Arabidopsis thaliana: one gene and its partner. The protein of the gene in region 1 interacts with the protein of each later gene in a pairwise test. Each region holds a gene or a part of one and is shown on either strand. Other genes may lie near its edges. The genes, in order: AT4G22235 and AT5G42220.

Evidence for each region.
Region 2: the proteins of AT4G22235 (region 1) and AT5G42220 interact in a two-hybrid assay, tested with the Arabidopsis thaliana proteins (one large-scale study listed by BioGRID).

Annotation. Positions count from the first base shown.
Region 1 is NC_003075.7:11,760,886-11,766,478, forward strand, and holds AT4G22235 (defensin-like protein), read left to right. Parts: upstream 1-2,739; 5' UTR 2,740-2,839; coding exon 2,840-2,909; exon of another isoform or gene 2,910-2,998; coding exon 2,999-3,204; 3' UTR 3,205-3,443; downstream 3,444-5,593. Other genes in the region: AT4G22230 (defensin-like protein), read left to right, coding at 1,407-1,482, 1,570-1,772; AT4G22240 (Plastid-lipid associated protein PAP / fibrillin family protein), read right to left, coding at 5,205-5,519.
Region 2 is NC_003076.8:16,869,147-16,879,828, reverse strand, and holds AT5G42220 (Ubiquitin-like superfamily protein), read right to left. Parts: upstream 7,592-10,682; 5' UTR 7,335-7,591; intron 6,873-7,334; 5' UTR 6,868-6,872; coding exon 6,739-6,867; intron 6,645-6,738; coding exon 6,527-6,644; intron 6,223-6,526; coding exon 6,124-6,222; intron 6,032-6,123; coding exon 5,916-6,031; intron 5,822-5,915; coding exon 5,735-5,821; intron 5,560-5,734; coding exon 5,365-5,559; intron 5,278-5,364; coding exon 5,208-5,277; intron 5,136-5,207; coding exon 4,981-5,135; intron 4,850-4,980; coding exon 4,685-4,849; intron 4,608-4,684; coding exon 4,536-4,607; intron 4,465-4,535; coding exon 4,347-4,464; intron 4,270-4,346; coding exon 4,027-4,269; intron 3,954-4,026; coding exon 3,805-3,953; intron 3,722-3,804; coding exon 3,530-3,721; intron 3,409-3,529; coding exon 2,878-3,408; intron 2,654-2,877; coding exon 2,516-2,653; intron 2,437-2,515; coding exon 2,374-2,436; 3' UTR 2,352-2,373; exon of another isoform or gene 2,097-2,351; intron 1,728-2,096; and 2 more. Other genes in the region: AT5G42223 (Defensin-like (DEFL) family protein), read left to right, coding at 884-977, 1,059-1,219; AT5G42210 (Major facilitator superfamily protein), read right to left, coding at 9,261-9,329, 9,714-9,784, 9,894-9,972, 10,225-10,266, 10,400-10,453, 10,624-10,656.

The DNA of each region.
Region 1 (5,593 bases):
TTTTTTTTAGGGTTTCGGAAGTAACTTTTGCTCCGCTGATTTTGGTAATGAGAAATGAGATCGGACTTTTCCTTTAAGGGTTGTGAGAAGAAGTCGGTTTGGTTTCAGACAGAGAGATAAGCGAGGGGACACGTGGACGGTTTAGATGGTTCTGAGATATTTGCTATTTCTTTTTTCTTTTCTTTTTTTCCTTTGATTTTTTCTTTTAGTATTAGCTAACTTGAGACGCTAACCTAAACTTTAGATTGAGATTTTGATAAGTTGACTTTTTCTTTTCAATTATATTTTTGATATCCTTCAAATGTTATAGTTTATAAGACCTATCGCTCATAAATCGTACTTTTCAAGTTTACAATTGAATCGGAACATACTTCTTTTACGCAAACAATAGTCATGATGATTTAGTATGTGTATAGAAAGTTCTCAAATTTCAAGTGATGAAACAGTCTATTTAAAATTAACCTTAATTCATTAACGTATAGTTAATCATAACAATTAAACCTATAAGTTATAGGCTATAACAACATTATAGGCGAATGTCTTCGTCTAGATAAGTTGTGAGGAGCCATCTACGACTGTGCATTGTCCTATGGTAAACATATATTTGGTTAATGGTTGATCTTGATCATTTGAAAAGTCGTTTTGCAACATTAACAAATATATTTGTCTGTTATTTTTAGACGGCACCACCGGAACGGATTGGAAGCAAGATCAAGTAATAGATCTGAGATTTGGAAAGCTTCTCGTGAAGCGAGTTAGATAGCAAATTAAGTTGAGGATTGAGAAATATGGATTTTAAAATATATTAATATGTATTTTTTAAAGTAGTACATATAGATTCGTAAATATAAAGTTATTTTAAGACACGAGTTCATTATGCATCTATACCGTGAAACATGTGGTACCGAGAAACAAACAAAAATTTAAGTTTCATTATGCATGCAATTGGTTTCAGATATAATATTTTTTTTTGGACAAAGGTTTCAGATATACTAATAAAAAGCAAAAACAAACAAACAAATATGATTGAAGGAAAAATGAATCAATGATGATGATGAGCGCTTGGTCTCCGTTGATTTAGCATCTACCACTTTCTTTGGCATTGTTGATTAGTATCTAAAAGTTGACTAATTTAATGAAGAAATCAAACGAAAGATTCTAAATATCTATCTTTATCTACACAATACAATAGTATTGATCATCTACAATAAGAGTCGGGGGTGTATTCAGTTAACTATTTAAAATGATTTGTCTTAAAATCATATATCTTACGTCATTTTAATCCCAACGACTTGTCCAGTGCTAGCTATAAATTAAAAACTCGCCTTTTGCCTAAATGAATCAATCACAAAGAGAGAGAGGGAAACAAAATAGAAAGAAAGAAGCTAAGAACTAATAAGCAATTAATGGGGAGCTTAAGGTTGAGCACAGTCGCTATTGCAGTAGTCGTTTGTCTCTCCATTCTCCTCATATCTCCTACAGGTACGTAAAAAAAACCAAAGTCTTTGATCCCAAGATCTAAAATAAAACATGTTTATAAAATGTAGTATCTTCCTATTGATTGGACAGAAGTAGATGGGAGGCAAGTGTGTGACTACGATAAAGGTGAATGTAATAGTTATGAGAAGAGCTCTACTTGTATTGAACCATGCAAGCAATTGGACAGCAAGTTTATTGGAGGCCGATGCATACCTGTTGGTGGTATTACTGGTATGGGGTTATGTGTTTGCTGCCGTGATGTACAGCGTGGTGCTGAAAAGGAAAGCATGTGATTTGCAAATGATACAAAACGACGTCACTTTGTGTCTGTGTTTTGCGATTTGCATGTTAATGATTTCAGCTCAAAATCTATATTTGAGTGTTTGCCTTCTACAGATCTGTTTGTTTTGAATTGTCAAGTCTTAAATAAAGTTGGATTGTTTTCCGATTATGACCTGACCTATTCATCATATTTTTTTATTTTTTTTATTTTTGTCTAATTGAAATCTAAATCGGAGGGGAAAAAATCAACAAAAAGAATTTTATACGAGTACATTAATTCTTGCAAATGTTAAATTATCCGTCTTATGATTTATACAAATAAGAATTGAATTAAGGGAGAAACTGATAAATACTTGTTCCTAACAAAGTTTAATAGATGTGTTGAGAAAACACACTTGTCCGTCGGTATAGACACTTATTCACCAATTTAGAACAATATGTAGATGTAGTTAGCTAGTTTATTAACTATAGTTTTTCTATTTAGCTAATTGATTTTATTTAGCATTTACCACTTTTTTTGGCATTGTTGATTACTATCTAAAAGTTGACTAAACAAAATACGTGTTTAACGTTTTTTTAGCTGTCATAATATAGTAATATACAATTCGAGTTGGTATAATAAATATCTGATCGCATCTAAAAGGAAATAGTGAATGGAACGACTTACAAAGAAGTATAATAATCCAACTATTTTTAAAATATCTCCTCCATGCATCCAGATCTGAGATTTGAAAATCTTCTCGGGAACCGGATCGGAGTGAAATTAGTTATACAATTTACAACTATATATAAATTTTAAGAATTTGATTTAAGAAAACATATGTCAATGAAGTCGTAACAGCTAGTCACACGACAGTAAAACGAACAACCTAAACGACGACCAGTTACAGCAATAGTAAAACGAACAATATATAGTAAAATCTGATCGAAGTCGCTAACCGTATATTACGGGTCGCAGTTGCTAGCGTGCGAGTTTACATATAGAATACAATAAAATTGCATGTTTGGTTAAGCTCTCTCCCAACTAACTATTGCTAAAAAAGAAAGAAGCTAAGAAGAACTAAGAGATCAGCAAGTAATGGGGAGCTTAAAGCTGAGCACATTTGCAATAGTCGTTTGTCTCTCCATCCTCCTCATATCTCCTATAGGTACGTAAAAAAGACCAAAATATTTTGATCCAAAGATCTAAAATAAATACATGTTTATGAAATATTGTCTCTTTGTATGGATCATACAGAAGTGAATGGATGGGGAAAGTGTGACTTACGAAAGGGTTTATGTAGACTCGCGGACACGATCTCTACTTGCGATGTACCATGCAGGGCAGTGGACAGCAAGTATCATGGAGGCGAATGCTTAAATGTTGGTGGTGGTCAAGGGATATGTTGGTGCTGCCGTGATTATGATGCTGCAAAGAGCGGTGCTGAAAAGGAAAGCATGTGATTGCAGATGATAGAAAACGACGTCACTTAATTTGTGTGTCTGTGTGTTTTGCTATTTGCATGTTTATGATTTCATCTCACATCCATGTTTGAGTGTTTGCCTTCTACTTTGGGGGTATCAAAATAAAGCTTTGGCTTTTGCAATAAAACTAGCTGTCTAAATTGTGTCGTTGTTTTGTTTCTTTGTTCCTTCACTTTAAACTTTTTCAGTTTTTTTTTTATAAAAAAAAATTCAAACACAAATACGTAATGATGTAGACATGTATTGTGTTACGTTTGTGTTCGTTATAATTTTTGTAATTTTTAGGTGTCATATACTGATAAAATGCCAAAAGTAGTCTGATATATATGGACTATAGTTGCTTTTTTTAGTGGTTGTCATCTTAGTCTTAGATCCATAAATTTATTTAAATTATTATACGAAGAAGGTCGGATGATGAAAGTTACTATTATTATGATAGTGTTTTAGATAATACGAATACAATAATAGTAATCAATGTATATCTTGTTTGACCGTGAAAAGTTTTAGACCCAAGAAATGGACCCTGTTTGTTAGGTGGTGGCAGAAATACTTAATTCCTTTCCAAAAATAAAACACGATTATTTTTCTTTTATACGTTTGCATAAAATTACAAAATTACAAAAGAGAACTAGTCCTTGTTGTTATATGCTGTAATTCTAATGGACCATTCTTATTTTTATTTTGTACTTAACATGATAAAATTTATAAAAATACTGTAAAACATTAATGAGTGAAGAAGATTCGGGAGATACACTTTGCATGGCTGCACATGATATGTCTTAAAACAAGTGACTTTTAAGACAAACCACAATTATTTTCTCTTTTTTCAGTAGTTTGGCAGATTACAAATTTATTGCGAATTTATCATCTAAAAGACTAAAATATAGTAATAGAAAATAAAAAAAATCATCTGCAAACCTAAACAAAAGAATGTATTTTTGACAACAAACTATATTATTACTAACGGTAGTTAGAGCGGACAAATACGTCAGCGATTTAGTCCGCTCTATTTTTAAAATGGGCAATAAACCGTTACGAACTAATTATATTTGTATGTAAAAACAGTCCGTAGTTAATCTGCAGTGGTTTTTTTTTTCTTTTTTAAATTCGCACCTATACAAATATGAATGATAAATAAAAAACAGTTCAAACCGCAAACGAATTTGTCCGCCTTAACCGTTGCAACCATTCAAATCCTATATAGCAAATATGTGCTACAATGATAAAGAGAGACATAGAAGAAAAAGAAAGTAATAAAACTCAGTTTACAGATTATTCTTCATTGTTATCATTATTATTGTCTCCTCCACTTTCAGTTTTGGCTCTGATTCATGCTCTCCGCATCAAACCCTCCACCAAACTGTACATAACAAAACACAGTTTCAAACTTTCAGTTATATGAGAAATTTGGTCAATTTAGGTTTCTTATGTTCTTGTCTGAATTGAGTTTTTCCTTTACCTGATGGTCTCTAAATAAATTACAGAAAGAACAAACACATTCAAAATAGGGCTTCAGATATTGAGAAACTCTATGGCATATGCTAGAAACCTCGAGTACTATACTAACAAGTATCCCATACCATACTAATAGAACCATTTCCAGTGACTGAGTCCCTCAAAAAAAAAATGATAGGCATCAAGCACAGAGTGAACCAATTAGACAACAAAATGACAGTCATCATCTCGATTCTTATCGAAAGACCCGACGTTGCCGGGATAATTCTCATGTAACTCTTGCATCGGTACATAGTTTACTTTCTAAATCAAACAGAAGAGAATGAAATTCTAAAACACTTGAATTTTGTGAAAATCTGAGACACATTTCATAGGCCATAGACGAGATGTTCTGTAGTAGTTAAAAACATTATATTCCTTATCATCGAGTTAATAACAACGATTAAGAAGTAAACCTACAACCACACTATATATTTGTCTCACTTAACACAACGACAAGAGAGAGACATATATTTTGACCAAGTTCAAGGATTCAAGAGAGGGCTTCCTTCTTTGATAAGCACAAAGACACTTCCACCGTCTCCTCTAGAGATCCGAATGTCTTTGTCTAGATAAGTCGTGAGTAGCCAAGACTGCGCATTGTCCGCCGGCAAAGAGAATTTCAACGGTGGTTGGCTTGATATGGTTCTAGCCACAGACGAGGCTGTGTCTTGCACCGAGGTAAGTAACCCTCTGATCGGGTTAAGATCAATCTTTTGACCAAGAACCTCTACATATTCCGGTATCTCAATAGAATCCGTTAGCTGAGGCGTCCCAATTACGCCTTGCTCAAACTTAATCTGCAAGAAAAATGAAATCCAAAACATTACTGAAAACGTTTCAAGATGTTGATATCAGATCATGGTCGATGAAT
Region 2 (10,682 bases), on another chromosome or scaffold:
CATCTTCCATGAGACAAAAACCTAAAACCATCAATAGATTTGACAAAACAAAATAAATAAAAACAATCATAATATTAAAACTCTTATGACTTTTCAAATAATATCAATATTTAAACTTTAATTTCACGATGTTATACGACATGTGAAATTCTAACATTAACAATCAAAATACAATTATACATTATTAAACACTAAACAAAATAAACAGTACTAAACAAATCAACTTACAATTTCACCTTTTTAGTTATAAAATATCGTCATACGGTGTATCGCAGGTTAATATCTAGTTTTTAATATTTTTGTCGAAGAATTGCGAAGACTTATTGTAATCTGAAATTATTGAATATATATCAGACATAAAGTTGTTACTTGAATATTTTTAACTATAGAAGGCGTTAAAATTCACAATATATATATATATTATTTTAGTATAAAAATATATATTTCTTAAAAAATTATGTATATTTGTTTAATAAACTAAGTATAGACCCTTTAATCATATTAAAGAATGATATAATATAAACTAATTCTGTTTAGATCAAATTATTACATCTTATCTTTAACAAAAAATTCAATTTAACTTCAAGTTCCAACCATGGAACCTGAGATCTTTTTTTTTTTTAATTGAATTGAAAAGAATTTTCGTATTTAAATATTTGTAAAACAATGTATGTTATCTTATTAATGTTTCAAACATAATTAGGTAAGAATACTTATCTCTTTATTTTTTCTTTTGACTAACTCAAGAGAATTTTTTTTTGGATTCTTTTCCTTTTCCTCTTTCACCAAAAAGAACCTTTGAATGTATGTTTGTGTTATTATATATATAATCATCGTAAGTGCTAGAATCAGTCGTAAGAAAATTTAAGAGACTATATTAGACATGGCTATCACCAAGAAATGTTTTGCCGCATTTGTACTCATCCTCCTCTTTGTCATGCCTTTCGTTTATTGCTCGGAATTAGATAACACTTCTGGTACTATCTTATTATGAATCAACCACTTTTTTCTTATGAGTTTATATATATATTGATCTCTTGATTATTACTATAATATAGGTTTTGAAATAAAGCAAGAAGATAAATGCTACGGCCCAGAACCGTGTAAAAATGGTTACGAAGGATGCTTGTTCTTTTGTGTAAGAATAGCCTATTACTTATATGGGGAATGTACTATGAAGCCTGATCATCAAAAGCATTGTTGTTGTGTGACAAAATAATCTAATAAAATGTTGATATTTACTAAAAGCAACATAACTAGTTTTCATACGACTTTGAATATTCAAAAGATCGAGAGTGAAATGCACAAAGCATACCATAATTGAAGTTGGTTTGATTTGACACAATCGATGTTTCTCTTTTGCATCTTTTCAAATGAAGGAATTGCAACATTTATTCATTTTTCGCTCAATTTGGATGAAATACAAACGTTGCAATATCTTGGTGAACCATTTGAGATTTATTTTAGAAAATCTCGAACTTGGGTCCTAATAATAATTAAAAATTTAGTCTTTTTCACTCTAGAAAAGTCATAAGTAAGAAAAATTAGCGATGAAACAATTATTTGCAAAACTCATCACAAAAGACAGCTTGTCTTAGGAATGTTCATGATCTCCGATGTCGCTAAGTCATGGCTCGCTGATCTTGAAAATCTCTGAACCCATGATGTTTTAGTTCAATTTTGTCGTCATCCTTAATTTTTCCGGTGGTGATCAATTGTTCACAACCCTTGAATACGTAAAACCATAAAACAAATTTTAATAATCTTTTAGAAATTAAATATAAAATAAAACAATATTATTAATTTGTCATAATCCAAAATTATAAATTTGTACAACAAAACAAACACAACAACTTTGTAATTTTAAACATATTAAAAATTCATAGTAAATTTTATAATATATAATTTTTTATAAAAATTAAATAATATATAACATCTTATTATTGGGGTTGTCGTGACAGTTCATTTTTCTGAATTATTCTACTATTTATTAGTTTACATTCCATATTTATTGTGCAATCTTTATTACCTATTTGTTAAGGAATTAAACTAAATATATAATTTGCTACAGTCACTCGTTAGTGTAGCCCTTTAGCCAAATTTTCGATCAAAACCAAAATTGTCAGTTATAAAGGGACACCTTTTTCCCAAGTAATTTGGTCAATGTCGAGAGTTATGAGTAATCTCTGGTTAAAGATGGAAATATCAAATTGAATCGGCCCTTTAGAGACCAGATAAATTACGTTTGCTTATGTTTAGCAGAGTATAGACCATCCCAAACCCTAATTCTTAATACATAAGTGAGGGATCTCAGCAAATAAACAAAGATACTTCAAAGATATGACACTTACAGAACCAATTCAACCAAATATCTTATAGACCTTGATCATCTTTTAGCCGGCCTTCGATATCACGTCTTAGCAACTCCGCATATTCCTGCAACACTCAAATACAAGTCTGATCAAGGAGTCTTTATTTTTATTAAACAAACAAACTAGTCAGTTTTGATGCTTACTTGAGAAAGAGCTTCATCACAGCAAAGCTCGTTCACTAGTTCGTCTTGGCTTATCGCAGCATTTTCGACCATTGCACGGAAGACATCCTCTGGTGGATCAGAGTGCTCAATCATTTGAGCCATGGATTGAACATTTACCTATTTGGAAAAAGTAGAAAAATAACATTCATTACACGAGATAGAACAAGAGACAATGACGTTTATTGTAATACCTAGGTAAGAATGGTGTTACTTTTTCTACAACTAAAAAAAGACAACAACAAAATCCTACTCAGTCGATAATAGTATCAGTTTTTCTTCAGCCACATTTTTTTCCTAAATCAAAAACGCAAGAAATCCAAACCTAACACTCGTAGATGTACCTGAGAAGGTTGACGATCATCAGGCTGTATTGTTGCGGGATGAGGCAATGGCCCTCCTTGGCTAAAAGCACGTGAGACTAGAGGCATCATTTGTTGGACCATTCTAGAGAAATCAAAGCCGCCGCCCTCGCCTTGAGCTCCACCTGACATCATATTTTCTATCTCTTGCCCATCCACCTGTTGCGCAATCTGTTGGACTGTGTTCATGATCTGTGGATTCTGGGTAAACTGCTGGAGCATATTTCTCAGCATATTTGGTGAATCAACACCAGCTTGTCGAGATACCCCTGCTAGCAATCCATCCAATACAGGGCTCTCCAGGACCTGAGACATTGCACTTGAGACATCTACACGATCATCTGAACCTTGCCCGCGTCTAAGACCAGTCTCATCTGAACGAGAACTACCAGAAAAGAGAGATTGCAAAAGCTGCTGACCACTGGTCCCACTGCTTTGTTGCACACCTTCAAGTGTAGCTGAAGTCCCGCTATCTTCAGTCTTACCTGATACCTTCGGCTGCTTGCTTCGTTTCTTTAACCAAAAAAAACATACTATGACTGTAAGCATTTGGAACTATGACACTTGTGGATATGCTATGCAATGAAAAACAAGCAGCAGCAACTTGACGCTTATTTTTCAACTGATTCATTACCTTACGGTCTAAACCGCCAAGCCCCAATCCAAGTGGTGTAGCTGTAGCTACCTCTGGAGTAGCCTTATTGGTTTCTTTGGCATCACCGGTAGCATCTCCAGACGGAGCTGATGATTGTCCTGTAGTACAAGAGGTATCTTTTGCTCGGGCTGGATGCTCTAAATCTCCACCAAGATCTTTTTCATTTTGACACTGGTTGAAAAAACAAAAATTAGTGGTAGGCTAACCCTGGTGAACATAAAATAAAGAATCATCTGATTGCAGAGAAGACATACCACTGAGTTGCTCCTCTCAGATGGTAAGTCATGCAGTGAGCCACTAGACGACTCAGGTGCGCAAGTAGTTGCAATGTTGGTAGGCTGCTCAGGCATAGCAGTGGCAACACCATGGCCCGTAGACATATCCCTCTCGAGAGATTCTATTCCTGATTGACACGTGAAGAAGAGCTTGAAAACATTTCGTCCACAATGTAAAACTTTAGTCAGCAGGAAACCTACCCGATGGAATCTGGTCTCTTCCTTGCATAATGTTTACCATATCTCTTATCCTTGCATTGATTTGAGCAACTGAAACATCATCACCCAAACCAGGTTGAACCCCAGCAGAAACGTTCTCACCGGTAGAGTGTGATGGAACAGCCGCAGGAACTGAACTTGTATTGCTGTCACGGTCTCCTTGTCCTCCTTCTCCATTGCTTCGCTGGTTCCCAACTGATGACAACATAGGTGAACCTGATGTGCCTGGTAATTAAGTATGAATTTTAATGGAGAAGAATTGTGCAGCTAAGTCCAATAGCAAAAAAGTGAACTTCACCCACCAGCATGTATGTGAATATTAATGTGCCTTTGGGCAGTTCCTAAACCAACAGGTCCGGTTAGTGGATTTGATGAGACAGTAGCACCAGTAAAGAGAGGGCTGATTTGGTGAGGAAAAGGCTGCAAAATACAGTAATAATTACATAAAAGTAGAAAATTAATTTAGAAAAAAGATGAGACTAGAAGCTTACCTGAACCATAATAGGATTCGGTCCTGATGGAGATATATACACAGCAGGCCCTGCATTCACATAGGATAATTCCTGTAGATCAAAGTGTTAATGAGCCGCATGTCAAGAATGAATAGGAAAATGCACGAAAGGAATGACCCAAAACGCACCGGCGACGGTGCCATTCTCAATGTCAAAATTGTGCGTCCAAGCTCCAGTAGGAGGGCCCCTAAATGTTGCATGGCAAGACCTACTTGCACGGCCTCTGTCTGGATTTGTGACCTTAGAGTAGGATCTGAAGATGAACCATCTTGCTCCAGACGTCCCGCAATATGCTACAACAATGTTTTTGCAAATTACAAACAGCACATAATTAGATGACAATGCATGGTAACCATATACATAACAGTTCTTGTAAAGAGAAAGAATGGAATCAATTAATAAGCAGTGTGAAGAAGGTGTTTACCGATAAAGAAGAGACACCGAGACCACTCAGTAAATGTTGTGCATTCCTTAGGACAACAGAGAGTGCTTCAGGTGTTGCTGCACCTCGTCTATTTCTAGGCAACTCTTCCCTTGGTCGCCCTCCGGATCCAGCAGAAGAGGTATCTGGCTGATAGCCTGGAGGAACATCCAATTAACTTATTTATGTGTTCTCTATCCAATATGACAATAAAACTTAGATCACAATACCATTTTGTGATAATGCCTGCTCCATCCGATTAATGAACTCCATTAGAGTGTCTAAGGAATCCGGAATAGGCTGCAGAATTAGAGAGTTACATTGTAAAATGACAAGATTAAAGCTCTAGTCTCAAGATCAAAATACTACTACGTGACTAAGAACTACCGTTAAGAATGAAGGGATAGGAATCGTTGTGGCTGCTGTAACAGGAATCTGAACTACACGAGGCATCGATGTTTGAAATGATACACCAGGAAATGCTTGCCTAGGTTGTGAATGACCCGTAGCTTGGCTTTGACCACCAATGCCAGGCTCTCCATCAGATGTATTTCCAGGAGGTGCATTAGACGACTGATTCGACTAGGAAAAATAAAAGCGCATGCAACATCGAGTTTAGAAACAGGCAATAGTTGATGACAATATGAAACCTTACACATCAAATAGTAACAACACCTGATTCTCAACAATCCTTAATGTAGACTAAGCACTAATATGGAATAAATTCGAAATAGAGAGTGACGAGAAAAAAACTCACGGGCATAGAGGATTGCGTGCCATTAGTACTGTGATTTGTAGGAAGCTGTCCACTAACTCCAAAAGAATTTAGAACTGCTCCAATGACCTTAGTAGTTAGCAACACAAAATTAAAAGCAGGTTAGCCTAACTAATCAAACCATCCCATAGGCCAAACAATATCACAAATCCTTGGGGATTACCCGGCTGAGGTCTGGAACAATGCCTTCTGTCTGATCTCCAACATTAAAAGACCCAAGAACTACGCTGTGGGAGACATGTCTTCCATTTCGAGATGGTCCACCATTTGTATTATTTCCTGTTGAATTAAATAACAAGTTGAAATAAGATGATGGTTGTGTTAACAGCTCTTTTAAAACTCAGAAAGGGGATAAAAAATAACTTGATTACCATCATTTGCAGTTGCCCCTTGTGAAGGTGTACCAGAGGAAGGAGCTGATTCTGCTGGCTGCCTCACAATCAAGTGTAAAGTATGCCCATTTTCCAAATCTATGACGATGTCAAGTTATCAACTATACTGAAAGTAGAAAAGCGATGGAAGGAAACGACAGACATAAACTAAAACTAAGCTTATCGAAGGTATATATATATATATAGTTCTCTTTCTGGATTACAGCTTCCTCTACGGTGTAAGACTCACAAAAGCAGAGATGCACTTGATCAATCAAAAACTAGACTTCCGACAGATTTGGTTAACATGCATTTTATACACAGGGCACATGGCATAATGCAACAAACAGCTACACTATAACATAAAATCAACAAGTTAACAAAGTCGCTAGCACTAGGATACGATACTCCGAGAGAGGATGATCATCTTTCAAAACCCGTCCTCGGAAAATGAGCCGCTGCTGACCAACCGGCACCCCTGTCTCACTAGCAATCTTCTCCTTGAATAGCAAAACAGTTTCCTGCAACAAGTCAAGCCCTAAGCAGTATCAGATATAAGCAAACTAAACTTAAGCAAATATGCAGGTGAAGCAGAAGAAGAAGAAGATTTCTTACATTCTTGTTCACTTGGAAAGTATACGTCCGCGAGTCTAACGTTTTGATGTTAAGCTCAAGGGTTGATTCTGGAGTTTTCTCCGACGCATTGGTGCTACTAGAGCACTGGTTAATGGGTTGATCTTCCATGAACCCTAAAGTATTAAAATTTAAAAAACATAAAGCTTGTAAATTCATCTTACAAAAGAATGATCTCATAATAAACAATATTATCTCTAGGGTACTCAAATCAAAACCTTTACCACACACATTTCCAGATATTGATCATACAAAACAGAATCAACAATGAGACACAAACAAATGACATAACTAAATGCTAGTCATTGTAACAAAAGACCAAATCCTATATATATGCAAGTCATTGTAATAAAAATGCTAAAAATCAAAAACTTTCACCATCCAAAGCCACAAACAAAAGACCCAGACCCAAATAAATGCAAGTCATTGTAATATCACTGTTCAAAAATCAAAACTTTCACCGTCCAAACCCAAAAACAAATCTGCTAAGGCAAAAACAGAGCCTATAGATACGGAAAAAAAGGATCAAGATTTAAGAAAAAAACAATCAAATTCCATGAAGGCAACGAAGAACGAACCTATTTGCCGTCGTGGGGTATTGAAAAATTGAAACTTTGGCGGAACAAAAGACTCTCCGATTGAAATCTAGAGAAGTATCTCAAAGTTGAAACACGAAACCAAACCTGATGTGTTCAGAGTTAAAGGGGAAGAACAAGGGCGATTGTGTCGGGAACTCGGGATTTTGGTGAAATTGAAAAGAAAAAGAAGAATCTAGAGGAGGAAGATACAACGACGACGTTTTGAAAACCTGAATTGACGCTTCCGCGAATATAGGCCTAGTCTCCGCTCTAAATGTGGACTCTTCTATTAATAATATAAAGCTGGGCCTGGCCTTTTTAACCATATCTAAAATAAATTTTAAACATGTGCTTCTTTTTCTGTTTTATTATGTAATTTTGATTTCTAATATTTAAGTATTTAAGTTTACACATAACTGGATTAATCATGAAGATTATGGTTTACATATAACTGAAACGAATCTATGTTATTGTTGTCGTTAATAATGGTTATTATTTTATTATTTTTTGTCATCAAATTATATTAATGTTCAAATGAGTCAACTTTAGAAAAAATTGTTTACATATATGAAGCGATTCAGTACGAATTTTTCGTGCCAAAGTATTCGTTCTAACATTTGCAGTATAAGAGATTAGAGATAGAAACAAGCTTGAGATTTTTTTATTGTCACTCAGGCAAATCTTTCAAAATTGTAGAATACACCGGCCATTAGGTTAGGGAAAACACTATATTCATTAGGTTTGAACAGTCTGTGAAAAACACTACATGTTGGTTATGTGTCGAAAGATCATTTAAAGTTTAGTCTGACAATTTTGCGGCAGTGTATATGCAAACAACAACAAAAGTAGAACAATCAAAGCATATAGACATAGAGTGTCATATTGTGTGAGAAAGGATTCAAGATGATGTGGTTTCAGTTAAGCATATAGGTAGAAATTTCATGAAAGCGGATCCGTTAACTAAAGGTATTCCACCTAAAGTTTAGTCCACATTATTAGTTAAAATACAAAAACAACTAGATTTTAACCTGTGGTATACCGCGGGAACAATTTATTTTTTAAAGTTAGTATATATAAAAGTTTACAAATTGTATCTATCTATAAAATAATTTTATTTTATAGTTTACAAATGTTATTAAGTATCGTCCTGTCAAACCCGTCCTGTAAAAAAAAAACTATTTATTTTATTAATGTTGATCTTATTTATGATATGTTTATGAATCATTGTCTAAATATTTTGTAATTTTGTAGTAATTAAATGCTATCAGATTATATCTCTGCGCTTTGATGATTATAATCGAATTGTTATAGTTATGGAGAAAATCAATATCAAAAATGATAATTTTGTAGTAATTAAATGATATTAAATATTTTGGAAGTATTATTTTAGTAAATAATCGTGTAGTTAATGTGGAGATATTTTGGGAAGATTGTTAAATGTCAAATATTTAATTCGAATATTTTCTTTTTAATTATCAAAAACAAACATTAAAATCCAGTGGCAGCCATTGTAAATAAGTCACAACTAAAGGATTTATTTCACAAAATGGCTGCAAAAATGTATATATAGATTATAATAAAACATGTTTCAATTATGTCTATATATACAAAAATAATTATGATGTATATAAATAAATTTAATGATACAAATATTGGAGCTATTTTGTTGCTTTAGACAACTAAACTAACTTTGAACTCAAAAAAAGAAAGAAGATATCTAAATTAACTGAAACGGCCATTAAATATGGTGTTTCCCCTAGGAGTTATTGACTAACCTATACAAGCTATTGGTGTCTTGCTGACTTTAGATATCATAAACCCGTACACAATATGGGTTAAAAAAAAACATCAAGGATTCGACCAATGCAATTAAAACCTGTATATTATCTTTCACTACGAAATCCATATGGTTTTGAGGAAACTGTGTTATGGAGATCCCATAACTGATATTGGTGTTGCTGCTCTGATCATCAGGCTTTGGATGAAAGCTATAGTCTACAAAGAAAAACAAAGTAACGGACATTATATATATTATTTTTCTTAGTAATCGAACAACTCATATAACTTTGAGGAATCAATTAAAAGGTTTATATGTTTCACATACATTGTCATATAACTAAATGTTAAACCAAAAAAAAAAGAACTGAATGAGTTAGTGATTTTTCATGGGAAATTAGATAAGATTTAAAGTTTCCTTTTTGCACAACCAACAACAGCATTCGTTGTGAATTAGATAAGAGTATGAAAACTAAGAAAGTAAAAACTAATTAAAAGGATAACGTTCCTTTCTTGGTTTAACCGGACATTTATTTGTATAGTTTCATGGAGGCTAACTTGAGTGAATTTCAGTAGAAAATGCAAAAACATAAAGTATATTACCATGGCAAATCCCGCACACATTATACTGAACCCTGGGAAATTAAATGGGGCTCTTTCAGACAGAAACCAATCTAAGAAAAATAAAAATACTAGTGTTAGTAGCAAGTTATTTGCATTTCTATCTACAGAAGTTTTTGAAATAGCATTATTAAACAATGCTTATGTAAATAGTGATGAAACCTGTTAGAGGTGAAAATGCTAGCGGGGAAATGACATTTGCAAGGGAACATATGCTTGAAATAATTCCTTGGGCTTTCCCCTGAAAATATTACCGAGAGTTAGAGTTTGCATTGACCGATTAACCAAATTGATAAAAGTCAAAACCAGTCTCGCACAAATTAAATAATAACGTTCGATTTCATGTAAAAATAACATTATTTCTCATGTAAGCCACTAATCCTACTCCTTTTTTCTTTCTTTGAAATAATTTATTCTTCTGTCCATTTTATACAAGAAGTATTTATGGTATAATAAAATGAATGGAATTTGTTATAAGTCAAGACTTAGTTACCTGTTCATATGATGCTACTTGTTTGGAGACAATGCTTCGCATCTGTAAATTAAATTTGAATTGTTGAATTACAATACATTTCAATATATAATTAAAGTATAAACTCGAATAAAAAATATCTAATATGTGTTGACAAAAAAAAAAAAAAATCTATATATATAATATGTAAACTTACACACGATGAAGGAAATATTGAGAAAAGTGCAAATATGGCTGCCATATATGGAACCTGTGAGTTTTAAATTATCTTTAGCCAATAATCGATCTCACAAATCTTCACTAAAGAGGCAATTCTTATTAACGCCAAAAGATATTGCAAAGAAAATGAACTATCCAACATGAAAAAAAAAAAGAAAAAAGGAAATGAAGAAAAATTTCTTAAAAGGATATAATTAATACCCATGAGGACCATGCCACACATAGTAGGAACATCTGCAAAATTAAGATTGCAACATATA